7 linked regions of the Xenopus tropicalis genome follow. The protein of the gene in region 4 interacts with the protein of the main gene of each other region in a pairwise test. Links are inferred from orthologs where the notes say so. Each region holds a gene or a part of one and is shown on either strand. Other genes may lie near its edges.

Evidence for each region.
Region 1: the proteins of meox2 (region 4) and mapkbp1 interact in binary tests that used the Homo sapiens proteins (3 or more experiments, as listed by UniProt). The two-hybrid records come from large-scale screens. The link is inferred for Xenopus tropicalis from reciprocal best matches to the Homo sapiens genes MEOX2 and MAPKBP1.
Region 2: the proteins of meox2 (region 4) and shfl interact in binary tests that used the Homo sapiens proteins (3 or more experiments, as listed by UniProt). The two-hybrid records come from large-scale screens. The link is inferred for Xenopus tropicalis from reciprocal best matches to the Homo sapiens genes MEOX2 and SHFL.
Region 3: the proteins of meox2 (region 4) and spry1 interact in binary tests that used the Homo sapiens proteins (3 or more experiments, as listed by UniProt). The two-hybrid records come from large-scale screens. The link is inferred for Xenopus tropicalis from reciprocal best matches to the Homo sapiens genes MEOX2 and SPRY1.
Region 5: the proteins of meox2 (region 4) and hat1 interact in binary tests that used the Homo sapiens proteins (3 or more experiments, as listed by UniProt). The two-hybrid records come from large-scale screens. The link is inferred for Xenopus tropicalis from reciprocal best matches to the Homo sapiens genes MEOX2 and HAT1.
Region 6: the proteins of meox2 (region 4) and chic2 interact in binary tests that used the Homo sapiens proteins (3 or more experiments, as listed by UniProt). The two-hybrid records come from large-scale screens. The link is inferred for Xenopus tropicalis from reciprocal best matches to the Homo sapiens genes MEOX2 and CHIC2.
Region 7: the proteins of meox2 (region 4) and syt17 interact in binary tests that used the Homo sapiens proteins (3 or more experiments, as listed by UniProt). The two-hybrid records come from large-scale screens. The link is inferred for Xenopus tropicalis from reciprocal best matches to the Homo sapiens genes MEOX2 and SYT17.

The regions. Positions count from the first base shown.
Region 1 is NC_030684.2:105,031,049-105,035,114, forward strand, and holds part of mapkbp1 (mitogen-activated protein kinase-binding protein 1), read right to left. Parts: intron 2,574-4,066; coding exon 2,296-2,573; intron 2,054-2,295; coding exon 1,196-2,053; intron 174-1,195; coding exon 88-173; intron 1-87. UniProt on the Homo sapiens protein: Negative regulator of NOD2 function. It down-regulates NOD2-induced processes such as activation of NF-kappa-B signaling, IL8 secretion and antibacterial response. Involved in JNK signaling pathway.
Region 2 is NC_030679.2:136,816,087-136,820,945, forward strand, and holds the start of shfl (shiftless antiviral inhibitor of ribosomal frameshifting protein homolog), read right to left. Parts: upstream 3,111-4,859; 5' UTR 2,998-3,110; coding exon 2,968-2,997; intron 1-2,967.
Region 3 is NC_030677.2:65,663,312-65,668,139, forward strand, and holds the start of spry1 (protein sprouty homolog 1), read right to left. Parts: upstream 3,084-4,828; 5' UTR 2,542-3,083; coding exon of another isoform or gene 2,528-2,541; intron 2,508-2,527; exon of another isoform or gene 1,547-2,507; intron 555-1,546; coding exon of another isoform or gene 500-554; coding exon 1-499. UniProt on the Homo sapiens protein: Inhibits fibroblast growth factor (FGF)-induced retinal lens fiber differentiation, probably by inhibiting FGF-mediated phosphorylation of ERK1/2. Inhibits TGFB-induced epithelial-to-mesenchymal transition in lens epithelial cells.
Region 4 is NC_030682.2:36,890,603-36,895,451, forward strand, and holds the start of meox2 (homeobox protein MOX-2), read right to left. Parts: upstream 3,287-4,849; 5' UTR 3,137-3,286; coding exon 2,632-3,136; intron 1-2,631. UniProt on the Homo sapiens protein: Mesodermal transcription factor that plays a key role in somitogenesis and somitogenesis and limb muscle differentiation. Required during limb development for normal appendicular muscle formation and for the normal regulation of myogenic genes.
Region 5 is NC_030685.2:67,594,590-67,598,655, forward strand, and holds part of hat1 (histone acetyltransferase type B catalytic subunit), read right to left. Parts: intron 2,610-4,066; coding exon 2,534-2,609; intron 1,138-2,533; coding exon 1,017-1,137; intron 1-1,016. UniProt on the Homo sapiens protein: Histone acetyltransferase that plays a role in different biological processes including cell cycle progression, glucose metabolism, histone production or DNA damage repair. Coordinates histone production and acetylation via H4 promoter binding.
Region 6 is NC_030677.2:39,930,424-39,934,489, forward strand, and holds part of chic2 (cysteine-rich hydrophobic domain-containing protein 2), read right to left. Parts: intron 2,181-4,066; coding exon 2,126-2,180; intron 2,038-2,125; coding exon 1,882-2,037; intron 1-1,881.
Region 7 is NC_030685.2:32,711,252-32,715,317, forward strand, and holds part of syt17 (synaptotagmin-17), read right to left. Parts: intron 3,949-4,066; coding exon 3,329-3,948; intron 1-3,328. UniProt on the Homo sapiens protein: Plays a role in dendrite formation by melanocytes.

The sequences.
Region 1 (4,066 bases), on a different chromosome or scaffold from region 4:
TGTTACTGTTCTTTTAAGCAATAGGTTCCTGTATGGAAATGTGCATTAATGTATCATATAACAGGGCACAGAAGGTTGAGTACTCACAGATCGGTACAAGCTCAGAGCCTTGCGGAGACTGTCCTGCAGCTCCGAAGCAATTAGCTCACACTGCTCAAAACTCACAGACGATGCTGAAATAAAGAAGCATCATAACCATTAACCTTAGAGAGAGACCACACACTCACATGTAGGAAACAAACTTTTATACAACAGGCATGAAAGTACATGTATTTAGAGAGACTTTTGTTCTCTGATGCTAAGAACTGTTGATAGCTGAAGACAAACTGACCAGTGGTCTGGTACACACAAAAATGTAAGAAAAATGTAATACTGTATGGAATAATGTACTCTCTGTAAATGTCTTGTCAGGCTTGTCAGAGTTATTTCCAGGATGACTACAAGCTATGGTATATCCTACAGCCTTCCTGTGAGGAGATGTGTCCCTTACATGACATCTCCATGACTAGGTGTTACATTGTTTGGGGGGTTTGCCACACAGCCAGTAATGGAATGGTATATGTTTATCACAAGATAAGGAGGGGATATTGTGCTATCCCAGTATCTAGCACAGCAATGTTGATCCTTGTCCTAAGCACAATTCAGCAGGAATATTGTGCCGCCTGGCAGACCATTAATAAAGTGTATTTGCCTGCCAAAAACTCATTGCTATAATCTTCCTTCGAAACAAATAAATATACAAGAGATCTGTTGATAGGGGTATTTTCCAGTTACACACGTAGAGGCGGATGTATCAAAATGTGAGTTTAGAGATTAATACACAAAAACTCACCCATGTTCTATTAATTCTTAGGGGATATTTAGAAGCTTATTTTTCAATGGGTGAAAATTAGAATTCACCATTTGAGAAATAGGAATGAATAGAACATGTTATGCATGTATGTATTAAGCTCAACACTTGTGCCTACTTTGAATTAAACTACACCATGCAGCACTCCCATGCACATACATGCAACATATGAAAGAAAAAGGCAAGAAACAAAGGTCTCACCATTCTGGGCTTGACTTATGAAACGAGGAGAAAGCGGGATAGGCCAGAGACTGGATGGAGAAAGATGAGATGGAGCTAGAAGGTGACTCACACAGATAGGAGACAGAAAGGGTGGAACCACCAGTGGTGGGTGCTTATGCCCACCTGAATTTTGTGTTGGTGCTGCATTAAGAGAGGGAGATCTAGGTCTGATGGGTTCAGAACAAAGTCCTGAGTGATGGTCGGGAGTATGGCCAATAGTAAAAGCTCTGCCTCTGTGAATGGGTTTTAACAGATCAGAAAATAACTCCGCTGCTTCTTGAGATAGATTTGGTTTAGAGTTTGCCTTAACATCATCATCTTTGCTTTTACCACAGCCATAGTCCTCCGATGGACTGATTTTTTCTACAGCACCAGATGAATGGTTCTCATTCCTACAAGTTAACTCTGTGAAGGAATTTTTGACTTTGCAGCTATTTGCTGGTGATCTTGGAGACTCCATCTCCAGTTGCCCTTTGCCTTTATTAAAGGACAGGAGGGGTCGGTCTGGCAATGGTTTAGCAATATCTAGAGTGAGGTGTGCTCGATTCTTGGCCTGAAAAGTCTTGGTTGAGGAACAGTTTGTGACAGGCTGTAAATGTGGTTTGATAATGACAGTCTCCTTAGCGGTTTGCCTGTTCTTCTCTGTCTCTATGAGACTGGTGACAGCCCCTGTCTCGGATTCACAATTGCCTTTTCCATCTGAACTCAAAGACGTGTCCTGATTATCTCCAATATCTAGATTTTCTCCCACCGACATACTCCGAGAAATTTTAGCCATGGAGCTTGTGGTTGGATTCATGTAGGATCTGCCTTTAGCAGATTTTCCATCCTTTGCATGGGGTGTACCAGAGGTAATATTTTCCACTTTTATTAGGTTGGATGGCAAAGTTCGACGACGAATGGCCTTCTCTTCTCTCTCAGCTGCTGTCTGTACTTGGGAACGCATTTTTACAACACCTCCATTGGCTGCTGTTTTATCACCTGAAGGAGAATTTAAATGAAGTATTAATTTAATAGATTAGAGAGTGTAAGTACATTGGAGGCAATGTGACAAGAGGGGCATTTTATCCCAGTTCTATATAACTGAACTCTGTCTACCAGTCATGACTATGAAAGGAATTCTGAAGTTATTCCCCGCTAATGTGCTAGTGGATAAAATCACTTCTAGTTTCACCCCATAATTAATGAAAGTGTGACTGTTCATGAAGCAGTCTTGACATTACCTTCATGTACAAGATCATGGACTGACTGTGTTTTCCGTATTTGCATCAATGAGGAAAAAGGCCCGCCTTTACCTATATGCCCATATTCTTGGAGGTGCTTTCTCTTCCTTTGGAAGTAGTTAAATTTTTGAGGGCTGGCAAAATCGTGATCCAACATAATGGCACTTTTGGGCTGATGGTCAGTTCCATTAATCAGTGTGGGAAGCTCCTGTGATGGCTGAAATAATGCAGGGCTGAACTCTGAATCAGGCACTGAGGGTTCAATAGATTGATGCCTGCTGGAGGGAGAGACAAAAGTCAAAAGTAAACTATAGTGTACAAACACACACACCACAGATTTATAAGCATAAAACAAGTATTGAACACATCCTTTTTCTCGGTAAATAAATTTCTGTTGGGGCTACTGACATGAAATTCACAACAGATATTGGCAATAACCCAAGTAATCCACACATACAAAGAAATCAAAACAAATAAATCCATAAATTAAGTTATGTGTAATAAAGTGGAATGACACAAGGATAAAGCATTGAACACGCTTTCTGAAATATATTTAATACTTCGTAGGAAAGCCTTTGTTGGTAATGACAGCTTCAAGGCGTCTCCTGTATGGAGAAACTAGTCACATGCATTGCTCAGGTGTGATTTTTTATTTCTTTGAATGTGTGGATTACTTGGGTTGTTATTGACATGTGGTATAAATTTCATGTCAATAGCCCCATTAGAAATCTTTCCTGGGAAAAATGTTGACGTGTTCAATACTTGGTTTCCCTGCTGTATAAATATTATATTATAGGCAAGTACAAGTGCATCTTTCAAACTTTCTAATATACATAAAACACTTCTCTGGTTTTAAAAGAGTCCTCCACCCAAAAATGAAAGTAATTCTAAGGGGCTGATTTACTAAGACACGATTTCGAATCCGAATTGGAAACGAACATTTTGCGACTTTTTCGTATTTTTTTGCGATTTTTTCGGCGTCTTTACGATTTTTGCGTAAAAACGCGAGTTTTTCGGCGTCTTTGCGATTTTTGCGTAAAAACGCGAGTTTTTCGTAGCCATTACGAAAGTTGCGCAAAGTCGCGATTTTTTGTAGCGTTAACACTTGCGCGCAAAGTCGCACCTTTTTCGTAGCGTTAAAACTTAAAAGGCGCGACGTTTCGCGCAAGTTTTAACGCTACGAAAAAATCGCGACTTTGCACAACTTTCGTAATGGCTACGAAAAACTCGCGTTTTTACGCAAAAATCGTAAAGACGCCGAAAAACTCGCGTTTTTACACAAAAATCGTAAAGACGCCGAAAAAAAAATCGCAAAATTACCGATCATTACGAAAAAAACGCAATCGGACGCATTCGGCCCGTTCGTGGGTTAGTAAATGTGCCCCTAAGTGTTTGCATAATAAAGAAAAGTGTGATTCTAAGCAACATTCCAAGATAACTTGAAATGAAAATGTTTAATGTATGTGTATTGTAACTGCTATGAAAAGCATCATCTGTTTGGCTGCTACATGCTTGGCACTCCTGGCTCTGGCACACAAAAGCTGATTATAAGGCCTGAAGGGGTCCTGACACCTGTAACTGTTAAGAATCAGGCCAAAAACACAGAAAGGGATAAACAAATACTGCTGTACAGTTATAAGTAACTGATGGGGATGTGCAATGTATAGTGTAACATTGCTTAAAACTACATTTTCTCTAATTATGCAGAAATAATAATAAAATAAAAAAAAAAAAAAACTGGATTGGGACAGAGATCTGCTTTAATGCCACC
Region 2 (4,859 bases), on a different chromosome or scaffold from region 4:
ACCCCTTTAATGTTTTGTTCTGCTTAGGACTCCTAAGGTGTGCGGCTTCACACTCACAGGCCACAAGCATTCTGGGTAACTAATTCCATACCTGTAGCTGACAGAACAAAGTGTTACATATATATATATATATTTACTTGGGTTAAGTGCAAGGGTAATTTTAATCATCACCCTTTGTGCCCTTTGTATCCCAGAGATCAATACTACACAAACAGAGTTCTGCGCTGTCAGGCAGTTTGCACTGGCCGTGACCACAATGTTTATTTGCTTTCAACTGGATTTGCTCCAGTGCCAAAAACATGACAGGCTGTTTGCATGTCACCCAGGGCACGGCAGTCACAAAAGAAAACCACAGCTCAGTATGTGGAGCTCTGAGTGTTTCCTTACACAAACAGCTCCCATGCTGGATCATATAGGGGAGGCCTGTACAGCCGGTTTGGAGAAACAGCACCCATGAACCTCGGTAGCACTTTCCCTATGGTGGTGGTTCCCATACTGGGCAGCTGGAGGGGCAGTTATAGCCAAGGCACAAGGAGCATTTGCTCCCTTCCCCACATCCAATGGGTTGGGGGGCAACATGTTGCCCACGAGCCACTGGTTGGGGATCACTGCCCTACAGTAACCAATGCTGGGCAGTACAATACCCTGATTGTAACCAACCCCTACAGTAACCAATGCTGGGCAGTACAATACCCTGATAATAACCAACCCCTACAGTAACCAATGCTGTGCAGTACAATACCCTGATAATAACCAACCCCTACAGTAACCAATGCTGGGCAGTACAATACCCTGATAATAACCAACCCCTACAGTAACCAATGCTGGGCAGTACAATACCCTGATAATAACCAACCCCTACAGTAACCAATGCTGGGCAGTACAATACCCTGATAATAACCAACCCCTACAGTAACCAATGCTGGGCAGTACAATACCCTGATGATAACCAACCCCCTACTGTAACCATTGCTGGGCAGTACAATACCCTGATTGTAACCAACCCCTACAGTAACCAATGCTGGGCAGTACAATACCCTGATAATAACCAACCCCTACAGTAACCAATGCTGGGCAGTACAATACCCTGATTGTAACCAACCCCTACAGTAACCAATGCTGGGCAGTACAATACCCTGATAATAACCAACCCCCTACTGTAACCAATGCTGGGCAGTACAATACCCTGATTGACAATCAGGGTATTGTACTGCCCAGCATTGGTTACTGTAGGGGTTGGTTACAATCAGTGATTGTAACCAACCCCTACAGTAACCAATGCTGGGCAGTACAATACCCTGATAATAACCAACCCCTACAGTAACCAATGCTGGGCAGTACAATACCCTCATTGTAACCAACCCCTACAGTAACCAATGCTGGGCAGTACTATACCCTGATAATAACCAACCCCTACAGTAACCAATGCTGGGCAGTACTATACCCTGATAATAACCAACCCCTACAGTAACCAATGCTGGGCAGTACAATACCCTGATAATAACCAACCCCTACAGTAACCAATGCTGGGCAGTACAATACCCTGATAATAACCAACCCCTACAGTAACCAATGCTGGGCAGTACAATACCCTGATAATAACCAACCCCTACAGTAACCAATGCTGGGCAGTACAATACCCTGATAATAACGGGCAGTACAATACCCTGATTGTAACAAACCCATACAGTAACCAATGCTGGGCAGTACAATACCCTGATAATAACCCACCCCTACAGTAACCAATGCTGGGCAGTACAATACCCTGATAATAACCAACCCCTACAGTAACCAATGCTGGGCAGTACAATACCCTGATAATAACCAACCCCTACAGTAACCAATGCTGGGCAGTACAATACCCTGATAATAACCAACCCCTACAGTAACCAATGCTGGGCAGTACAATACCCTGATAATAACCAACCCCTACAGTAACCAATGCTGGGCAGTACAATACCCTGATAATAACCAACCCCTACAGTAACCAATGCTGGGCAGTACAATACCCTGATAATAACCAACCCCTACAGTAACCAATGCTGGGCAGTACAATACCCTGATAATAACCAACCCCTACAGTAACCAATGCTGGGCAGTACTATACCCTGATAATAACCAACCCCTACAGTAACCAATGCTGGGCAGTACTATACCCTGATAATAACCAACCCCTACAGTAACCAATGCTGGGCAGTACAATACCCTGATAATAACCAACCCCTACAGTAACCAATGCTGGGCAGAACAATACCCTGATAATAACCAACCCCTACAGTAACCAATGCTGGGCAGAACAATACCCTGATAATAACCAACCCCTACAGTAACCAATGCTGGGCAGTACAATACCCTGATAATAACCAACCCCTACAGTAACCAATGCTGGGCAGTACAATACCCTGATAATAACCAACCCCTACAGTAACCAATGCTGGGCAGTACAATACCCTGATAATAACCAACCCCTACAGTAACCAATGCTGGGCAGTACAATACCCTGATAATAACCAACCCCCTACAGTAACCAATGCTGGGCAGAACAATACCCTGATAATAACCAACCCCTACAGTAACCAATGCTGGGATATTACCCACCCCCAGCTTATTATATTTGCCTGATTACAATCTTACAGTTCTTGCATCTGATTGTCAGCTCTACAGCCCAGGGATTGGGTAAGTGCTGTACAGTGAATATATCAGCACTATACAAATAAACATGAGTAAGAAGCCAGGATTCTGGGCTGCCAGCCTGTGTAGCTTAAGCCTCAGTATAATATATATATATATATAACTATGTCTGACACATACGATCTGACACCTGTAACATATCAGCTCTGGGTGTTGTGAAACCACAACTCTCACCGCCGCGCAAGTCGTGCTTCCCGGGGGCAGGCGGGGAGTTATAGTTCCGTGTGTTCCCCTGCAGCACAGACAGACCCCCAGCCCAGCACATGTATCACTCGCCTCCAGCTCCTCCTGCACATTCCCATCCATGCCGGCGGCTCGGTTCGGCACGTAGGAGCCCAGCTTGTAAGAGTCCAACTGGATCGCCTCCCCAGCACCGGCTCCCAAGGGCCACGGCTACTCTTTTTTTATCCTCTACTTTTGTTCCGGGTCCGCCTGCGGGAGGAGGGACAGAGGAGGGGAGTACGGTAGGGTGCGCGGCTAATGCAGTATTTACGGTAAGGAGAATTCGCTATCGGATTCAGAGAGACGCAGCGTGTAATTGTAGATCGCTTGTAATGGGTGCCGGATAGGGGAGCCTGGGGGGCTCCGGGTTATTACTAATACATGTAAATGGGAACTGTTAGCAGAATGATAGCAACACTGAAACCTGTAACCCTGTAATATAATAACGTACATAACTCATGTATATATATATATAAGTTTATTTATAAAGCGCTAGGAGGGTGCGCAGCGCAGTACAGTCTTACATTATACACACAGGGAGGGCAAGTGTTATAATAAGTACAATAAATAAGTATAAGTACACAGAGATTGCGTGCAATGTGGTATAAGATACATTAGGAAGGAGGTCTCTGGCCCATAGAGCTTACAATCTAATCTATATTACCAATATATCTCTAGACAGGTTATTCATTTGCCCAAACGTAGGTGGTGTGGGGGGGGTGAGTTTTTTGTTTGGGGGGGCTAAAGATGGCCGCACATATACAGTAATGTTACTGACTAGTGATGAGCGAATCCGTTTCGCTTCACCGGCAAATTCGCAAAACGTTAGCAAAATTCGCAAAACGTCTTTGTCGAGTGATTTTTTTGTTGTCCGCGTCTTTTTTTTGTCGGGCGCGCCCATTTTTTCGCAACCGGGCCCTTTTTTTAAGCATCTGCGCCTTTCTTTTGACACGACCGCGCCTATCTTGTCGCAACCATGCCCTTTTTTTAAGCATTCGCGCCTTTCTTTTGACACAACCGTGCCTATCTTGCCGCAACCACACCCCATTTTAAAGCGACCACGCCCTTTTTTGTCAGCCACTCCTATTTTGACACAACCACAAAAAAATTTTTGCCGCAGCGAATTTTCTCTGAAGTTTCGCAAAACAATTCGCCAATGGCGAAATACGTAAATTGGCTGTGAATTGATGCCTGGCGAAAAAAGTCGCTCATCACTATTACTGACATACGCAGAGCAGTCAGCGCACCGGCGAATATGTCCCCAATATGTCACGCACGCCCCCAGAAGTGACGCCACGCGCACGTGAAGAAAAGCCGCCGAAGCAGAAAAATTCTACCCGCGTGAAATTCACTGCAGGACATTGATGAGAGATGTGAGATTTTGGAAAAATGGGGGAGAGCCTTCCAAATCAGATAATTTCCAAAGAGATAGGGGGGTGGGGGGGGGTGGCAGCTCTGCTAATAAAGGGTGTAACAGAGTATAATTATAATTAATGTAATTAACTGGGTCTTTTACGTGCAACCGTATCTTACTAAACGCAGTGCTGGCTGGGGAAGTGAAAGAAGCCATTTTGAAACGCCTGTCATTGTTGGCAGTTACTTGCTTTGACTGAGACGCTTCTTCAGGAAATCTCTCTTTTTCTCTCTCTCTCTCACACTTCCGGAATCCTGTTACATGTCAGATCTGTACCTTTCATTTAAGCTCTGATTGGCTAAGGGTGAAGACACACGGAGCTACTAGTATCAGCTACTTGTCACGGCTACTAAAACAGACACTGATCATTTACTGATAACTGTCTCTACGTGTGTTTAGGGCTCTGGCACACGGGGGAGATTAGTCGCCCGCGATAAAACTCCCTGTTCGCGGGCGACTAATCTCCCCGAGTTGCCTACCCCTGCCATCCCACCGGCGAACATGTAAGTCGCCGGCGGGATGGCAGACGCGG
Region 3 (4,828 bases), on a different chromosome or scaffold from region 4:
GGTCCTCAGCAGGCAAAGCACTTGCCTTAGGCTGCATTCGCACTATCCTTTCAGTCCTGTGACCAGAGCCTGATCTGGGTGGTGGGCATTGCCCCAAGAGTTCTTGCTCAGAGGAAGCACTATTTGTGCTACCAGAACTGGCGGCACTACCTGTGCTAGTAGACCTGCTGAGCCCAGGAGCCCTTCCATTAGGTGGGTGTCCCGTGTGAGCCCAGTGAGTGGGCCTGTGCTCATTGTTATTATTCACATTGATTGGTATGATTTCATGAGTCCGTTCCTGCTTAATGTGCCTTGGTACAGTTTTAGGTCCAGGCTTTTTTACCATGGATGGGCCTTCTGTGTACTCATTCCTGCTCCGAAGAGCTTTGATCTGATCCAAGGACAAGATAGCCGCTGGCTGAACTTCTCGTTCATATTCCAACCGTTGCCGGCTGTCCAAAGATGGCTGCTGTATCACAACTAATGAACCACCAATGCCATGTTGACTTTGTAGCTCCATCTGTAGTGATCTTGATTTCTGGCATTCAACGTGAACTTGGCATGCATCTGAAAACCTGCCGATCAAAACACACAACAAAAGATAAATAATTTAGAACGGAGTTTTGGAGATAATATAAGATACAAATTCAAATCATCACAGCAAAAAATGTCAGATGACAGTTACAAGATAAACTACAAGCAAGGCAGATCACTGCATTTCCCCCCCATATCTAATATACTCCCATTACAATTTAATAAATCATGTTTTGCCATGTATGAAAGTCATTCTGCTTCTGCATGATGCAACTGGTTCAAGAAAAACACAAAGCCTCCAGATACCGTAGCACTTCAAGAAGTCACAGAATGGATTTCTCGTTTAGCTACTATACATCTGAACAAAGTGATTACTTGGTAATGATAACCTATCCTATGACTGGAAATGATATATTTCCAAAAGAGAAGACTTTTACCCCAGTAATAACTTTAAAAGAAATTCACCATACTAAAAGGGCTTCAGTCTTTCAGCGTATAATTCTGATAAAGGGGCTCTATCTTAATTTATTCTTGTTTAAAGCAAATTTAACTCCCAGAGTTTTGCCATGGAGAAATAAATAAATGTGATGCCTCCCTGTCAAATAATATTTACCTAAGGGCAGTTCTTGGTGACCAAAACAAAGGAAGAAAGGAGAGAAATAAGAGACAAACTAACTAACTAATCAGTCTGTGCTGCAAGTTCTGACCTCCTACTTATCTGTTCCAGTGATTCCCTAGGCACAAGTTTTTTAAGGCAAGCTGAGAAAATGATCTTTAAAGCTGAATATATATTCCCAAGCCCAGATGAGTGGCAGATGCTAAAAAGAGGGGTGATACCAGCTGCACCCAACCTCCAGAGCCAGGCAGTGCAAAGGTGCATGCCCACACTGCCCTGGCACACTAACACATCCTACAGCCCATTGGTGTCACACCTCCAGCTGCACAAGGCAAGCAAGCTAAAACGCTCTCACTGAAGAAAAGAAAGAAAATCGCACGATCTGAGGCTTAGAAAATGCCTATAAAATAACTGTACCGTGTGTGCCAAATGGATAACTAATCGTGCGACAATCGGAAGAGACGGAATGGGCAAATTATGGAGATGGATTGGGGTGGGGAGGGCTACAGAGAGAGAATCCGAATGATCAGAGAGCGAGAGACGGGAAAGGAAGGAAAAAGTTATGAATGAAAAACAAACCGTGACTGTGAGAAGGAGGAGGAGGAGAGGCGCTGATTGCCGCAGGGGGGCGGACTTTCCGCACATTCCAACCGCAGCACCCTTTCCCATCGGCTCCAGCTCGGAGCCCCAGAACAAGGCACCCCTTACGGGTTTCAGCACCCCATACCAGGTGTGCCAGCGTTCCCACATAGAGATTTCTCTGCGAATCTGTTTTATCGCCTCTTCACTGCCCCTACACTCACTCTTCTGGCAGTAAAGTGGCATCGGATCGATTTAACCAATCAAAGAATTAACATAAATAGCCCCTACCCTACACTAGTCCGACTACCTGCACCTACCACTAGGTGTCCCCATCCTGCGTTTGAAAGAAGTAGGGGCACCTAGCTCTAGGTCTGCGTAAACAGTTTATTTACACGTTTCTGTGCCAGGGACACCCAACTCGAATTGAAGCAACTTCAACCCTGCAGGCCCCTACTCTGACCCATGGCCTGCTGATATGTTACACTGCAGCAATATGTAGGCGTAAAGCAGCTGGGGGGTATCAAAACTGCATCCCTCCAGCTGTTGTAGAACAACAACTGCAAGTGTGGGTTGTAGGTGCCATTCTGAGAGCTGCAGTTCAGCACAGCCGCAGGTTGGTTGTGCATCCTTCTGAAAAGATATTACACGATTGGATATTTGTATCCAAGGGGCACATAAGATAGTGGGTCATGGGGCAAATACACTCTATCCCTCACTTGGGCAAGCCTGCTGGCATATTGGGAGTTTCAGTAAAAGATCCTTGCCTTATGGCCTTGCACCAGGAGCAGAGTATTATCCAGATATACAGACACTTACCTCTGTGCAAGCATGCACCAAGCAATAACACGTCCAACTCCAGGCTGCGGCAAATCCGATCGGAACTGGGGGGCTTAAGCATGGGACATGTCTCCAGTAAATCCCCAGGGCTGGCACTACTGTATCTGATTGTAGCAGCTTTCCCTCCGGGGGCCACAGTAATTAGGGCCAGGGTAGTCCTTGGAAACAAATAAATCCACAAACGCCAAGGTGGGCAGGAAAGGCAATTGCACCTCTGTCAGGGGTAGGAGCGATCCAGCAGGCAGGCACCGTAGGCTCCGTGTTGCTGCATGCGATGGGAGGAGGCACAAGGACTACAACACTTTTTCCTTATAATAACTCCTTTATTTCAGCCACAAGTAAACTCCAGCGATTCTTTTCTTATCGCAAAACGCTAACGTTATCAAGAGTCCTTTAAACAGAAAGCCGCGGCCCCACGCATATATTCCTCGGGTCGGTGTGCGAGCGCCGCTTAAATCCTCAGCACGGATAGGAAATCCACATGAGAAGCGATGGGCAGAGAATAAATGGTGATGAATGAGGGTGTCACCCTCGCAGCGATCACTCACAGCTCCACAGGGAACAACCTTCCACGCCTTGCGCTCTCCTGCCTCTGTATGAATGGATTCCTGGAACGCTGGGTTTGTTCCACAGCGGCCTTCTCATTGGCTCTCCGGAATAGTGTAGGGGAAAAAACACCAAACCTTCAGCTGCCGTGGCGGCGCTGATTGGATTAGAAGTGGGAGGGGCGGGGCAGTGGCGGCTGCGGTAGCTCAGAGCGAAATCGCTGCAAGGTGGATTTTAGCGGAGATTTCACGTGCGTCAGGTCGCTGTCACTGTTGTTCACCCGGGCGAAAAATGTGCCCACTTATGGGGTGATGGGTAGGCTTTTAGATTGGAACTCGCCCCAAACAGCCCTGTAATGGCCCTGTCAGCAGTACTTTGCGTGACTTCGGTCATTTACTAACAGCGCAGGGTGGCACTTACAAATCAAGGGACCCAAGGTCTGCAGGAAGGCTGGGGCAATAACTTGAAGGGCAGTCAGTAATAGTACTCGAAGGTTCGTCATCCCTGAATTAATTTTTAATTAATTGTTTTTTTTTTCCCAGAGGCCCCTTGAGATTTTGGGGATCCAGTGCACATAGCATTTTCAAACTCAATAGGCTGTAGTTTGTAATTTAATTTCTATGAATTCTTTATTAGCTCCTGGAGTTTTATTCTCAAGAAACTGTAGCGCAATACCATTATAGATCGGCTTAGTGGCAGCAACGCATTTTGCGCCTCTGTGATAAGGCTGAATAAATGCAAAATTGCAGGAAAGTAGTAAGGGCTGTGTATAAGGTATATAAGGGCCGTGTATAAGGTATATAAGGGCCGTGCATAAGGTATATAAGGGCCGTGTATAAGGTATATAAGGGCCGTGCATAAGGTATATAAGGGCCGTGTATAAGGTATATAAGGGACGTGTATAAGGTATATAAGGGCCGTGTATAAGGTATATAAGGGCCGTGCATAAGGTATATAAGGGCTTTGTATAAGGTATATAAGGGACGTGTATAAGGTATATAAGGGCCGTGTATAAGGTATATAAGGGCTGTGTATAAGGTACATAAGGGCTGTGTATAGGGGCGCAGAGAGTTAATGAGAGGGGCGCGCATAGCTTGCGTGTGTACCCGGGGAGTGTTGGATGCGCAGCTCCGCGCTGATGTGCCTGCACTTGTCTCCTGTGTGATCTTGGCAGCTTCACGTTTATTTCCTTAGGGAAGGAAGAACTGTGACCTGTCCCCCCCAGGGGGGAGCTTGAGTTTCCTGCAAATACACATTCCTTCCTGGGATTTCATAGTAGTAGGTCCGTCCTACCATTGCCACTACCATCCCTCCGCCCATTCCCATTGGCATGACTGCTTTGATGTATGGCCAGGACTGAAAGGGTCAACGGATACAGTCTAACTACATTGTATTTCTAGAATTGTGTGTGTGTGTGTGTGTATGTATGTATGTATATAAATGTATAGCAGTGTTGTTAATGCAATACGGCTGCTTGTTGCAATTTATATAAGGCTAGTTAGTAGCAGTATCTTTCCCAGCAACTGTATTTGGTCATGGAACTAGTTGGTGATTTATAATATCCTTATAGCTTACAATAGGGGGTACATACTTTGTGTTGTATGTATGTATGTATGTATGCGTGTGTGTGTGTATATAGATATATAAAGTGAAATAAACACTTATATATATATATATATATATATGTATCCACACACATTTGTTTGCAGAGAAGCAGCTGTATCCTTTGCATTG
Region 4 (4,849 bases):
ACTGGAAATCCTAATTGGATAACAGAAACCATTACAGATGAAAAATGCATATCAATGTTTATATAGCATATTGCACACCGCTTTTTTAAAATATTGTGAAGGGCAAAGTACTAATTTCCTTATTGGTCCCAGAGGAAAGCCCTTTGATTGTAGCTTGTAATGTTAGACCACTAACCTAATTGTACATGATTCTGCAGACAGAATGCACAACAGTCAGAAGTGCGCACATGGCTGAAAGGGTATGATAAGGATTATTCTAATTGCACTTTCTCTAGGTGCTATTCTGGTGGTCTGCTGAAGGGTATCACTAGCCAAAGTAGGCTTAATTATAAGTACCAGCTTTCTAACATCGCTTGTGAAATTCTCATCAAATCCCCCCCCCCCCCACCCCACAAAAGGTAACTTGAGTGATAGACGAGGCTTAAAAGATACAGGAAAATAGTGTTACAGGACTGACATCCAACCTGGGGCCCTCCTGCTCTTGATAAACTACAGCATTCTCGTCACAGCCTAAGGCTAAAGGCTGATGATTGCAGTTCAGCAACCCCTAGACGCCCATAGTTTAGATTTTTCTATGTCGAAATATGCACATATAATGGATAGGACACGGTCCGGGCCATTAACTTTGACTCTAGATTGTATAATTTGGATAGGTATACTGTTTCACAAAGCCATCCTTTCATTTCTCCAGAAACCAAATGCCCTTAAAACAATTGTTTGTGAAGTGACTCTAAAAGAAAGAACAGCAGTTTCTCAAATTCGCCAGGACCCAGTTATTGGATACACCGTGGTTAATGAAGCTAGTTTGTCATTTTTGCTCTGTGATTAGGTATAGATTTCCTGGTAATTTATTTTCTTTAAACGCTTGCCAATGTTATCTTCCCTAAACAGACAAAACAGAAGGGGGGGGAGAGGTTTAAAAGCATTGCAAGCCTAGACAGACTAATTAAACACTGGAATAATAACTTTTGAAAAGTTGTCTTGTTTAAAGCCCCAAGCCTGGAAGAAAAAATAAGGTCAAACATATGTCACGAATTACTCATTTGTCATTCATGTCTTATAATTATTGAATAACCATTCATCCCAATCAGAATATCTCATAAGACTTAATTAGGAATGGTAAGCAGGTCATCTCCAATTATGACTTCGCTTTCACTTATTCCACTGACCACTTGTCTGATTAGTGAGTTAATATAGTTGCACTTATCTCTCGCCATCATCTAATAGCAGGATAAAGCTACTCCACTTTATATATATAAATATATATATGATAAGCATCGAAATCACCAATGAACTGGAACATATAATACATATTTCAGTTATGTTTATATTCAGTGTGATATACTATGTTCATTTCTTATGCTACTGATATGCAAGTATCACGTATATTGTATTTCTTTTACTAGAATTTGCCATTTTAAATGGAAATGGAAAAGAGGATTTTAGTGTTCATGTCTGTTTGGGGTATTTCAGGTATGACGGAAGGTGTCTGTTATGAATCATTTGACTTTTTCAGTTCTAGATATTGATTGGTAGTTATTCATATCACTATTGATATGCAGCGGATTAAAAATGTATATATTATTATGGTCTGCCAGAGATTCTGATCAGTGAAAGTGATGTAATAGGCTCAAAAGAACTGATTTCACTGAAGTGGCTTATGTGACTGAATTAAAGCAAATATTACCCATCACTTTGCACTTTGTTAATTAAACTCTTAATTTGATGCAGACTGTGTATATGGCTTTCCCAGAGGAGGTGTTAGCTGATAATATAATTAACACCTTTCTGCAGTTGCTGGGACGGGCAAAAAAGGCTGCCCTCCCTGGGATGAAATCTCTCTATTTTATTCCTGCAGGAAGGGGGAATGGGCAGTCTAAATGTGCCAATTGTCTTTTTATCTGCCATAAAATTGCATTTGTAATAGTTTGGCTGCTGAGAGAAACAGGAGTCAACAAGTGATCTCCATTTCTTGTTATAATACTGCAGTGATACTGGATCAGGCTGAATAAGGATGGAGTGCAGCACGGGTTTCTGAAGGATTGTGTCAATAAATAGATTGTAATTTCAAATGAAAAAATGATACTTGGATTCAATCTTGCTTATTAAAGGAATTTGATATTCTTTTGACACTGACAGGATTGTTACATAGGAATACACCAGGAAAGACTTGAAAAGAGGGAACTATTTCTGCCCGTTCGTATTGTAATGTAATATACAAGTATTTCCTGTTTAAATAGAAACTTTTTACTTATAATATGTCTTGCATAGCGTTTATAACATTCCTATAGTGTTAGCAAGCTGCACATGTCTGAAATATTGTATACATGCTAGTTAGCAAGTGTCTAACTAGTACTTTTTACACTGCTAAATGCATTTGCCAGTGAGTACGAACACAAAGCTTTGAGCAACAGAAAAACCCCTCTCTGCTCAATTTGAACTGTCAGAAGAAGCTGCCGTATGCATGGATGCTAATGGCATATCCTAGGCATACAGTTGCTTAGGTTTGCACCACTGCTGTGCCACTTTCTGCAATGCAGTGCTAATCCAATACAAGGCATCACAATTACCAGCTAATATATATTTCCTTTTTGCTGCATGCTCAGACATTGTAAACACAAATATCCTTACCTGAACTGTCACTTTTTCTTTTGCCAGTCCTCTTTTCTGCTTCTGCCGGGGAGAGGGTCTGTCTGCCATAGTCCCCTGTCACACAAGCTGCACCCGTTGAGCTGTTAGTGCCCAGGCTGGATGTGTTTGAACACAAAATAGAGGGGCTGCCACTTAGATCTGGAGGTCCAGATTCCTGCTGAAGGCAAAGGCTATGTCTGGTGGAGGCAGGAGGAGATGACATCTGAGGAATGTGCCAATTTGATTGCAAGGTCTGGTGCTGTTGTTGCTGGTGATGATGATGATGGTGATGATGGTGATGATGTCCTCTGTGATGCTGGCTCCCAAACATGCCCTCCTCATTGGGATAGCCAGTTAATATGCAAGAGGACGAAGAAGAGGATAAATCAGGATAGGACATGTGGTCGGATCTTCCATGGAGGGCAAGAGAAGACTGGGCAAAGGGGTGTAAGCCCTGAGAGGTGGCATGGGGGCTGCGCAGGCAGCCAAACAGTGTGTGTTCCATGGCATACAAGTTTCAAGTTGCAGGCTTGAGATTCTGGCAGGATTAAACTCCACAACGCTGTCACTTTTCACTGTAAAATGATATTTTTCCCAAACAGTAACGGCACACTTTCAGTACAGATCAGATAATCCAGGTCTTCAGCCTGGTGGCCAGTCTCCTGTGCTTAAACAGTTTGCTCTGACCAAGATGAGCTTTTGCAGAGCTGCTCAGATGTCAAGAGTAGGAGAGGTTAAAGCCAACAGAAGGTGGTCCCAAGGAGCTGCTTTAATGGGGGAACAGCTAAGAGAGGATATAAATAGTGTGTAATGTGAGCTGGGGGCTGGCTTAGCAACACAGTACTGACCACAAACTCTCTCCAAAACTTTAGCACTCACAGATCCTTCCAAGTTGCGACAGCATCACTGCACTGTCTATGTACAACTTAAACCGGTTCTGCCCATTGCTAATATGGATATAGAGAAACTGCACGCAGGTCTTAGTAATTCATATACTGACACAATGACAAAAAGCTCATTCTACCGTAAGAAATCAATTGGAAAGTATTGTGCCATGCCAAGCAATACATGCCATTTTATTTCTTTTTTAGTGTTCTGTGTAGTGAATGTGATACAATATAAATAGCTTTAACTAAGGCACCATTAACCTACTGTTACTGAATCTATAACTCCCAGAATCCCCTGCCAGCTGCACTAGGTTATAACTTTTTACCAACATAGGACATATATGTGCAGTTTTATACAGCGGGAAGTAAGCAGTATACATTGTTCTCTTTTGGCGAGAGTAACGCAGAACCTGAGTAATGTTCTCCTCAAATTGTTTTCAGAAATAGGAAGATGTAACATCCTCTTAGTAAATAGGAAACATGTGTGTTTTCCCAACTAAAAGTCACACCTGTGTTTTTCAGATGTTTGTCCCTAAAATCTGCTCCAGGTACTGCTTACTGCACAGTAACACAATATTGTTCTATTCATCAGCATAAATACTCATTAACCCCTTCACCTATGGCACAGAAGCCTAGTTTGTTGTACCAGCATAGAATCTTTTATCTAAAATGCTTGGGATTTGAGGTTTTCCAGATAAGGGATCTTTCTGTAATTTGAATCTCCACACCTCAAGCCTGCTAAAAATCATTTAAATGTCAAATAAATCCAAAAGGATTGTTTTGCTTCCAATATGGATTCACACAGCTTAGGTACCATCAAGTACAAGGCACTGTTTGATTATTACAGAGAATGAATAAATCACTTTTAAAAATTAGAATTATTTGCTTAAAGTGCAGTCTATGAGAGGTGGCCTTCTCATCATTCAGAGCATTCTGTATAATGGGTTTCTGGATAAGAGATCCCATTTAAGCAATTCACTGTCTGTAAAAGACTATACAATCCACCTGTATAGTAAGTATACCAATTTATGTAGTGTAGTGTTTTATTTTATATTAATTTTAGCAATTTTATAATGAGTTTTAAACCCTGTAATCCAATTGCTCAGTTACCTTGTGCGTTGCCAAAAAGTTATAATGTAAGTTGCTATATCTAAAATATATTTGAGACGGGCTTTCTACATGACCTAGCTCTTCTTAGGACTGTATTTTAACCCATCAATGTATTCAGGGGAATTAAGAGTGCTTGTGCTGTGCTTCTACTTTTGAGAGAATTGTACATGGCCATGGGAGATATCAGAATACTAGAGGAGGTCTTTGCTAACCAAATACAG
Region 5 (4,066 bases), on a different chromosome or scaffold from region 4:
TATTTTTATTGTTAGCCAATATATGTATCATTTCTGCAATGCTTTTATATTTATTTATTATTTTTGCCACCAGCTAACATGGTAGTACAGTTTTTGTTTTGTTATTTCCCTCTCATTGTTAAAACTAAGTTATCACAAACAGCACTAAAACAAAACCATGATTTTGCTACTTCACACAAAATGACACTGTTGAGAAGCTGAGCATAGGGGGTCATCCCAAGTTTCAAACAGAAAATGAGGTTTGTCTTTCATATAAGCTGAGGCTACAGGGCTGATAGTTAAATTATTCTGATGCTAACTGCACTGGTTTCTAAGCAGCTATGTATTAATAATCAGTATTAATCAGCCATATATTGCGATATTTATTTTCTATATATACAGTATATATAGAACATCAAAACATATTGTACACTTCTTTAGTTAGGCTTTAGATCTCCTTTAAAAGATTTCATTTTTTGTTGTTACTGTTTAAAATATTAAACTTGTTACACAATTTTCTAATTTCCCCTGTTATGCTGGGTAAGTTGCATCTGCTCTTTCTGCAAAAAATAAAAACCCACAAGGAAATATCATAGTTTAGAATAGATCCTATATTAGTCTAAGCCTTAACTAATCAGTCGAAGTCAGTGGAAGAGCAAAATATTAAAACAAACAGAATTCCACAAGAATCAGATATCCACATAAAGATGTTCCACATAATTACAGGAGCAGCAAACATCTGCAGCATTATGTAACCAGCTATGTTTTCTCCTGAAGTGACATCTTTTGGTGGATTTATAAGAGAGTACTATATACTCTGCTTCTAAGAAATCTCTGCCGATTCTGGAGTGGCATACACAGAAAGAGTATGGTCAGTACAGCCACAGTTGCATTGTTTGTGTCCCTTTTGTCACTTATATATAAAAGTTCAATGTTACTGTAAATATAAAAATAAACCATATATATGCAATCCTAACAATGCACTTCACTTTACTATAAAACATTTAAGCTGCACAAAAACATATTAAACATTTTACCTGGACCAAATCAAACTTATCGTCAACTTTAGAGCTGTACTCCACCCGAAACATATTAGATAAGTTTCCAGCACTGTAGTACAACAAGATCTTCAAACCTTTGTATCCAAAGGCTACCTCTCTGGAAAAAAAAAATTGCGTTAACCAACCTTTCCATACAATAGCCGGATGCTTAAAGGTTTGTGAAGCCTTTAATTTTTTCTATATTTTTTTATGAGTGTGACCTAAAACATCATGTGATTTTCAAACAGGTCCTAAAAGTTGATAAAGAAACCCTAGTGAAACAAAAATTTATTATATTTGTTCATGTATTGATTAAAAAATATATATGATTCAATAACATATCTGCTTGTGGCAAAAATAAGGGAATTGTGCTCCCGGTATTTGATGTGACCCACTTGTGCAGCAATAACTGCAACTAAATGTTTGCGGTAATCGTTGAGCACATCAGCTCTGAGGAATTTTAGCCCATTCATCCATACAGAACAGCTTCAGCTCTTCAATGTTGGTGGGTTTTCTCACATGAACTTTGAGAACCACTATACCTAATATTTGCAAGGTAAAGATGGCGTTCACGTTAATTTTTATCATGATGTTGTTTTTAATTATTCATTATTTTACATTGTTTCACAGCATCATGGTCTGCATAATACAAGAAGTTATTCCTTAAAATAACCCCTGACCCTTTAAAAAAAAAAGTAAGGCACCAACAAAGAAGTGGTCTAGACATGCAACACCATTTGTGGCAGTCTGCACCAGCCCAAGGCCACTACAAGCTTACAGCAGTGAAGATCTGTGCCTCTTAATATGTCCTCATAAGCTGAACATCTTTTTTGCTGATTCACAGCACATACTCTGGTCTACTATCATTTACTTCTGAGAATATCTAAAATCTGCTTCTCCACATCAGCTCATACCACAATGAACTACTGGTATGCTAAAGACAGCCTTACAAGACCCAAGATGGGGACTGCCTGTGGGCTTTGAACTAGCGATGCACCAAATCCAGGATTCGGTCAAGATTTGGCCTTTTCCGGCAGGATTTAGATTCGGCCGAATCCATGCCTCTGGCTGAACCAAACTGAAAAATCACATGACTTTTTGTCACACAAACACGGAAGTTGAAAATTTTTCCCAGATTTAACCCTTCTAAAACCCAATTAGCATATGCTAATTAGGATTCAGATTCGGATCAGTATTCGGCTGAATCCTTTACAAAGGGTTTGGGGGTTCAGCCAAATCGAAAAAAAGTGGATTTGGTGCATCCCTAGTTTGAATGCACAAACAGTTCCTGTGATAGAGCTGCTGTGCCTGTGTGTTGTTTTTTTAGGCATTTAGCTAAATCTTGTAGATAAAGTTGCAAATCTTTTACTCTGCCAGAAGAAATTAAATAGGATAACTGTATTTCCTATGAAGGTGCAAATACCGGTACTCCGCTGGATAACAACTTTATGGAACATATGATGTGTAGGTATGCTTTATGGTAACTAAGTGATAATGCAGAAAAATATACTTACTCGTCACCAAAAATCTGGTGGCTGTACTCTGGGTTAAATGTCATGCTCTCATCTTCGATGTCTTCTGGAAAGCGTACTGAACAGGAAACAAAACAGCAGATATAATCAGGACATGAAACACCACCTGTACATCTGGGAACAATAAAACACTGATTGAGGTTTTCAGGATCAAAACAAAAGAATTTTCTAGGGTTTAACCAAATTGGAAATAGAGGCATCAGTTTTGATTTTCTTGCAAGGTTGCACATCAAAGTTTATTAAACCTCGATAGTTTACAGAAAGACAATTTTAGAGCTGTTATAGTAAATCTAGGATTTTCCTGCACAAAACTGTGATGCAGGACCTAAAAGTAGCATCTCTTTAATTTTATACTATTTTTTCAGGGCCCTTAAAACAAATGAATATGAATAACTTTTTTAGCATGAATTATTTCCAGCTATTGTGGACAGGGATGCATTGACAGAAATTAGTGGACTATAGCACAGTACCAATTTTTTAGGCTTTATAATGTGGTTGATAGTTGAAGTTCTTTCACAGTAGAGATTTAAGTGACTTCTGGAATATTGTATAGCATTTTCCAATTTACCATTTGCCAAAACTCACATGCAGTTATTACATTTGGAACATTTTTGTGTATATATATATATATATATATATATATATATATATATACACACATATACCTTTTGCTTAGCACAGCCACAGCTATATGTTTCAAGATTTCTGTTCTGTATGGTTAATAATAAATTACCCCCTGTGGTTCAGGTGAGCCAACACATAGACCAGGAATGGTTCCAAATTAGGCCTGATACTTACCAAAGCACAAGGAAAGGATTGATCACTGGTACCAATTTGTTAGGTACTTCCCAGTGATTGTAATCACTAACCTCACTCACCAGGCCACCTCTCCTCTTTGCTGAAAAACGCTCCAGCCAGGGTACAATTCTATTGAGTATTGAATGATCACTTGTAACAACTCTGGGCTATGTATATGCACACCACAGTAAGGCTAATGTCCCACGGAAAGATTAGTTGCTGCGTTTTTTAAAAAGCGAGTTCCAGCGACAAGTCGCTCGTTTTGTCTCTACATAGAGAAGAATATAAATCACCAGTACCTAAACCGACAATACTACTTCAAATCGTTTATAGCTCCGAATCGCTATGAGACCCTTTTTTGACTGATTTTACAAAGAAAGCATTGTCATTCATAGCTACTGGAAACGCTGAAAGTAAATTAATGTAATTTCTAATTGTGGGATATATGACAGCTGGATTTGTGGGAAATAGAATTGCTCAGTTGTAGAAATCTCTAGTAATTTTTGTTAGGAAAAGACGAGCAACACGCTTTTTAAAAATCGCAGTGACTATATATCCCTGTGGGACATTAGCCTAAGTGTTTGGATTTTACTTTCCAAGATCTGATTTTACTCAACTGTGTGTGTTGCAGGGGAACCTCAGGGGATTCTAGGGACAGGAGGCAAGATCGTGGCTTAGCGCTCAAAAGAATAGTACCCCCCTTTTTTTTAGTTAGAC
Region 6 (4,066 bases), on a different chromosome or scaffold from region 4:
GTATAGATTTAAACTAGTTACTCACTTTATCCATTAAAAGACTATTCTTTTTTGTCTGTTGAATAGATACCCCCAATGGCCAGTGGACAGAAATCTCATTTAAAATTCATGGTTATACATATTTCATCTGAAGTGATTATCATTATCACATGCAAAGCAAATGCTTTCCTAACTCAAAGGCAAAAATAGTTCCCGGCTTTCCTTATGTGAAACTGTACGTCAAGTAGGCAAAGGGAAACTTAAAATTAACTTTTAGCACAGACCAATTCAATGCCCTTAGCAGTAGTGCTACTCAACAGTATGGAATTTTCTAAGAAATTATATGAAAAAAACCATAATAAAAAGACAAATATTAAGCTTTATACTGAATGCTAAGCTAGGGCCACTGACCTCGGAAAACAGCATTTAAAATTCCAGATTAAAGGGGCAATGAGCTGAAGGGCAAATAATTCAAAACATAAGAAATTACAAAAAAGAAGCCAAATACGAAGTTGCTTATCCCTCATGGTGATATGGTGGGATGTTTGATTTATTACACCCGCTGCCATGAAACCAATATGTTGATTAGGCACCTGGAAATGTAGAATCCATGATGCCCACTTATTAGTATCAGACTTCCTGCAACAAATTCTACATTTCTGGGTGGCTCTTTGGTTGCACTTAAAATGTTAAAGGGGAAGTATAACAAAAAGTCTTTATAGGTGAAGAAAAAAAAATGGTATTTACTGGGAGGTCAAACTGTTAAGACAAATGTGTGTGTATCTTACTTTTACTTTACAAAAAAAAATGCTAAAAATCTAATTATACAGCACAATATGGGCTTCTGAGTTTCTAATAGTTCCCATTTACTCTTGATTATAAGATAATAAAAGTTAAGTTTAACATAAATTTCTGGTTTAACATAACAGCAAGGTGGCTGACAGTTCTTATAAGCAGTATTCTCATACGTGAACTTCCTTGAATCTGTAATTATGTTTTAAACCATCTACCTTAGAGATTACCAGCCACATGGGAAAGCTTTGTAAAGAGTTAAGGCCTCCCTTAAGGGCCCTTACACATGGGCATTTTGCCCTGTGTTCCCCTGCATTCCACCACATATTGTTGCACAAGTGTTTAATAGCCTGGGGGCAGACAATAAATCATCTGGAAATGCTTCCTTATTTATTTAAATGGCAATTGCTTAGACCCACATGTAAAAGGAACAGCCATTTATACATAAGAGATATGGAGTGTTTTGTCCACCATACATTTTACCTGCCCAAACATGCAGCATCCATTGTCCCCTAAGAGAACACGTTTTAAGTGTTACAGAAAGTGAATAACACATTAGTGGAAAGCTAATTAAGTAAGGCTGCCAGAACTCTATATACCTAGTGGAAATCTTCATATGAGCCATATTGCATATAAGTTAATTCTCTTGAAATTATAAATAAGCAAAATGTATACTTCTACAAAGACCCAAATGGTGTTAGCTCTAGTAAAATTCAAAATAAGATGTGCACAATGGTTCGTAACCTTTTTTCCCAACCTCATTACAGGAATCATCTCTGCAGAAATGTAACACCTTTTAACTAAAAGCTATTTAACCCATTTACTAATTGTAATTAGGGGTAATATGCACTGCCTCTCAGTGGCACCACAAGCTAGGAGTATGAGATTGTAATAACAAATATAAAGAAAAGGAAAGTACATCAGCTATAAGCAAATTTTGGGTATGAAAGAAAATACATTGAAGATAGGTATGAAGAGAAATATGCCCTCTTTAAAAGCATATTACAACAAAGCCTTGTGGAATAAGAGAATTATTAATAAGAACACAGTAGCACATTACATGATTAAGCTGTAAGACAAAATCAAGAAGCCAAGAATTGGTCAACTTACTCTTTTACTTAGACAAACAACTGGCCACATACTGCAGCCCAATGTACAGCAACAGCAAAGGCATCCACAAAGTAACCAGCGGACATTAATTGGAAGATTCTTCTTAAGACAACTGTTGACTCTGTTAATACTAGATTTAAATTCTTCAGGTGCTACCTGGAAAGGGGGGAAAATGTTACTAAGTATGAGAACAGTATTAAAGAAAGCAAATTGTTTGTCTTTAAACTTTGTTTTTGACACATACCTTGCCAGTTAAGGAAGAAGGGAATTCTGCTTCAAACTTGTTGCTAAGACCAAAACTAAAGAAAAAAGAAAATCATTAGAGATCATACTGCTGTACTTCAACTAATACATTAAAATGTAAACATTTTAATTGTGGCCAAAATGTAAATACTGAAATCTGATTTCATGATTAAGATCATTACTTCGTCATCAGTGTTTAACTGGTTAACCATCATTTTTGTTATATGTTAAGGGGTAGGGTCATTACAGTTTTCGACCAATATTTTATACCATTTCATTTTTGCAAACCAAAGTGAACAGGGTGGTTATTTTCTGGATATTCAGGCTACCTCAACTTGGCATAAGGGCTCTGGCACGCAGGGAGATTAGTCGCCCGCAACAAATTTCCCCGAAATGCCATCCCACCGGCAGACAACATATTGATTAGATCCATGTGACACATAGCAGATAGAAGACTTTTTAAAAAAAGGGGAGTTGGTAAGCTTAACTACTCTGACAACTTTTCCCAAACTGTGGTGCTGCCTTCCTTTGGTGGTCAAAGTGTGCTTAGTGGGGCCAGCCTGAAAGCCAGTTAGCAACAGATTTGGGTATGCCTGGAAGTACAGCTTAGCGGTCAGTTATATTAATAGGAGGGCCTGGCCAAATACGCCCAACAACCTCTGCACTACAGGAATATGGTATGTCTAGAAACTATATTCTGATCAATAAAGTACAGGTATGGGATCAGTTATCCAGAAACCCGTTATCCAGAAAGTTCCTTATTATAGAAAGGCCATTTCCCATAGACTCCATTATAAGCAAATAATTCTAATTTTTAAAAATGATTTCTTTTTTCTCTTTAATAATAAAACAGTACCTTGTACTTGATCCCAACTAAGATATAATTAATCCTTATTGGAGGGAAAACAATCCTATTGGGTTTATTTAAAGCTTAAATTATTTTTAGTAGACTTAAGATATGGAGATCCAAGGTATGAAAAGACCCCTTATCCGGAAACCCCAGGTCCTGAGTATTCTGGATAACAGGTCCCATACCTGTACTTGCACTGCAGCAAAAATAGAAATGTATTACAAGGATGTACACTAATGTTTGGATGAGAGTCTTTTTTTGTCATCTAAGATATGTTTGATACATTAAGTCTAACAGCACGTCTGCCATTTGGTTGCCACCTGTATGTACTCTTGGGAAGAACAAGTTGAAAGAATGCGAGAAATAATTTGAAATACCTCCTCATTATAGACAATTGAGATAATGGCGCCTATGAGATGATCTTCCCAAGAAAGTATGCAGCATTAAAATGCCATCAGTGCTTTTAGCATAAAAATAATCTATGCACAAGTTTTCGTTAAAGTAAAAAAAAAAAAAAAAATTTATGGCTAGAAATAATATATATATATATATATATATATATATATATAATGAACTTACTGGACCAACCCAAAGGTTTAGCAGCCCTATAACAGTTATATTGTATGCCTTCAAGGTTATCCACAACTATTGAGTGCTATTCTGATATCTACCACTTTAAGCAATACAGGTGTCAGGAAGCTGCTATCTTGCTCCCTTCCCATTGTTCTGCTGATCGGCTGCTGGGAGGGGGTTATATCACTCCAACTTGCAGCTCAGCAGTAAAGTGTGACTGAAGTTTATCAGAGCACAGGTCACATGGCTGTGGCATTCTGGGAAATGAAGAACACCGCTAGCCCTATATGAAAATATCAAAAAAATCTGTGCTTTTAAAAAACAGTTTTCAATGCAGGATTCTGCTGGAGAGGCTCAATTAACTATTGCGTTTTGAAAAAAAACCAAAATTCTATATATATTATATATCTGTTCCATTGACGGCACTCACCACTCCAAAGCCAGACACCGGGTGCTCACCAAAAAATTATCCACATGAGGTCAGTTGAAAGCACTCAAGGCTCAATATACTTTAAAGTA
Region 7 (4,066 bases), on a different chromosome or scaffold from region 4:
GCCCAATAACAGCTGGCCCCACCAGGAGTTTCCTGGTATCTTGGTGGGCTAGTCCAACACTGTTTACACCTTCCTAATGTAAAGTGCTGTGGAATATATTGGTGCTTTATAAATGCTTGTTTATAATAATAATAGGACCTTATTAATGCAAAAGTTGATATTAATAGAACCTTGCCCCATTTGTGAGATATATGGGATTCATCCAATACAGCACCTTTTTAGCATATTATTGCTATATTATACCTTTTGTTCATCACTTAAAGAATAGTCCACTGAACGTATCCTATATTAGAAAAGACTAATTTCCTGAATACAGAAAACCACAAGGTATTGTTTAAAAATTAATTGCCTGAACTCAATGCTGTTAGCTGATAGACTGTACATGTTGTACAATGTTCAGACCAATGAGAAAATGGAATGTAATAAAGAAGGGAAGAATGCCACCATTACACTGATCAAAGTAAAAGAAATGGCAATAATGGCAAGGAACTGACTTGCCTGGAGTTTCGAACAGAAGGATTGTTTTATGCTCTTGTTATAGCTGGGACATATCTACTGGATATGGTTTCCTCCTGCTTTCTGTCATAATGTGTATCATTCAATCTAGAATTTTAGTCCCTAAATTATCGATAAGGTAAGTGTATTGCTGCTGCTAAGAGTTCTAAAGATGTAGTCACTCAGGCCTGCCCCCTCTCTTTATTTAGCCTTGCAGTACCATTAGCAAATCTACAATCAATGCATGCCTTGAAAGTCAATAAGAAAAAGTACATTGGTACAGATAAGACATTAACAATTTATTTTCCTAAAAAAATTATATTTCATATGTTATATTTAAAAATGCAGGTTGGATGAAGGCTATAAGAAACACTATAGGAAGTAGGAAAACAAAGGTTTGTTTTATTGGGTCCATTATTAAAATGATATTTTCAGTTAGAGTTTCTTTCATGTATTCAAACAAGATTTACCAATTGTTGTATTTTTTTTTCTCCCCACTACCCTCCCTCCCCCGCTCATGCCTAGGTAAATATGAGCTATGCACACTGGGGGGATGGCAGTGGTCGAGTGGCTGGGGCCCCTAATCTAGTGGTGTGGGGAGCCCTTGGGGTGGCACAATATTACACTTCCATATTGTTTAAGTGAGTCTATGTCCATTTTTTTATCCATATAACATTATCATCTTTATAATTCTCAGAGGGTCTGATGTTATTTCTGACTATAGTGTCATGAACACTAGTTATTAAACCCCACTCTAGATAAAGCTTATGGACTATAATAAATATGCCCCTCAACATACAGCTGAAATATTTACTGTACAGGTATAGGACCCATTATCCAGAATGAATGGGATCAAGGGTATTCCGGATAAGGGGTCTTTCTGTAATTTGGATCTCCACACCTAAAGTCTACTAAAAAATCAAATAAACATTAATTAAACTCAATGGGATTGTTTTGCATCCAATAAGAATTATTTATATCTTAGTTGGGATCAATTATAAGGTACTGTTTTATTACTTGTACAATCAGTTTTAAAATTCAGAATTATTTGATTAAAATGGAGTCTATGGGAGATGGGCTTTCCGTAATTTGGAGCTTTCTGGATAACAGGTTTCCGGATAAGGGATCTCATACCTTTATTATGCATTAAGGAGCTGTGTGGTACCACCATAACAAATATTCATTCTTCCATCACAGGTAGATAATGGAGGTAAAAAATGTATTCCTTTGCGGCTTTATGACCATAAATGATCAAAGTAGTTGCCAACAGTGTACAAGGCATCCCATAAATCTGTCTGGTAAGACAGTGAAGCCATAGTTGAAAAAGCAAAGCAGATTATGCATTATGTTTGTGGTACAACAAAACAGAAAAAGGAGTCTACAGCAAATGCATAAGGCTTAGTTGGGTGTAAAGCCAATACAGCAATGCAAACACATTTCTGCATACTGTAAAGCATATTGATAACATCACATTTTTCCTATATTTTTCTCAATGGTGGAAAAATGGTGGACAGAAATATGTTAAACATAGGCGAAAATATGTTAAATGTATCCAAGAAACATATTAAATGTAGCCAAGGGGGCCGATTCATTAAAACATGTTTGAATCCCGAATGGGAAAAATTTGGATTGGATACGATAATTTTTGAAGATCCCAAATATCACGAAAATGCTTACAAAAAATCGTATTAGTCACGATAATATCGTATTGGCGATGCGAAAACCACCAAATTTTTGTACTGAACGATTGTAAACAGTGGCAGAAACTTTCCGAATTTTTCGCACAAGCATACGAAAAAGTCACGCGGGCGTGAAAAAAAAAATCGGGAAAATGCGCAAGGAGCTTTCGTGTCTTACTAAATCTGCCCCAAGGTGTTAATGCACCTGAGTAGCCTACACAAAGACAAGACCAGATCAAGTCTAAAATGGAACAAATGCTAAATGGTAATTTCAAGATTCCAATTTGTAGCATTTATTTACTTAATTGTTAAAGAAGGATCTTCGGGAATGTAACATATGTCGGTAACTTAAAAAACTTTAACAAATTTTAGCTTTGCATTAAATGTTGCCTTTGTGCAACAGAAAAATACCATTTGTGAACCCTTTGCATGTCTTGCAACTGTAAGTTTGCAATTGCGGAATTTTTTTTGTTTGCATAAATGCGCAGTGTATGTTATAAAACATTTGAACCTATTTTGTGTTAAGATTCACGCCATCTTCAAGCAGGTATTTAATATTTGCAATGTAGTACATGTTTAGTTTAGTATTACATTGCGAGCAGCGCTAAATATTTGCAAAGATGCCATTTTAACCACCGCTTTTATTACAATCCCCCTAAAGAAGGTGTGGCCTTTATAAATTCCATGATAGAGACCAAAGTCTTTATGAGCCCCTGCGGAGTTTTGCTACCAAATATCTCTGCTTCCAGAAATGACTTATGTGGATCCAAAGTCTAAGTTCCGAATTATGGAAAGGCCATCTCAAATAGACTCCATTTTAATCAAATAATTCACATTTTTAAAAATGGTTTCCTTTTTCTCTGTAATAATAAAAAAGTACCTTGTACTTGATCCCAACTAAGATATAATTAATCCTTATTGGAGCCAAAACAATCCTATTGGGTTTAAATACGATTTAATTAATTTTTTTAGCAGATTTAAGGTAGAAGATCCGAATTACGGAAAACCCCAGGTCCCGAGCATTCTGGATAACGGGTCCCATACCTGTACAATTACAATCATGCATTTACCCTTAATAACATTCTGCATTCATAACAAGGTACTGTATTTGTTGCAAGAATGAAAAGCAATAATTATAATTGGACAAAGTTTACCTGAGAGCTTGGAATGATGGCTTTCCACCAGTGTCCTCCTTTAACAAGGTCAACTTCATTCAGTGGCATTGCAACTTTTCCAATAACACAATGTCGTGAAAATTTATCAAAATCCACTATGGTTAACAGCAGAGTTCTTCTTTGGGCTTCTAAAAATTGGATTTCAAAGGTGTACCTCTCCTCAAATACTGGGTTCTGGGTTTTACGTTTGACGCCTGTTTGCTTTGAGTTTTTTTGGTCTGGTAATAGACAGATCTTTACATATGGATTTGAATGAGCCATGTCCTGTCTTGAACCATCATAAGATATTGGCGGTGGCAAGTCTCTGGCTTCTATCACCCTGACATTTAGATAGTTGTGCAGCAGATCATACTGAGTACTAAAATGCAGCATACCTAACTGGTACTTTGTTAGAATTTCATCATCAGTCAGTGAGTCTACATCATCATTACTAGAATCAAGGGAGTATAGGCGGGGTTCAAATTTTCTAAAATAGTCCTCTGGTGTATATGATTTTCGTAGTACCGTTGGTTGGACTATTTCTTTTTTGGCTCCTAATGCACCAAATTCTATGGGTTTAATATCAATTAACGGAGAGCTTGGCCTTCTTGACTCTAAACCTAGGAGTAAACAACAAGTACAAAGATTTAATTACAATGCTATCAAGATATCGGTTCCAAAATGCCTACTATTGCTAAAGATGATGTAGCCTTAATTCTAAAATTCCTATATGCTTTG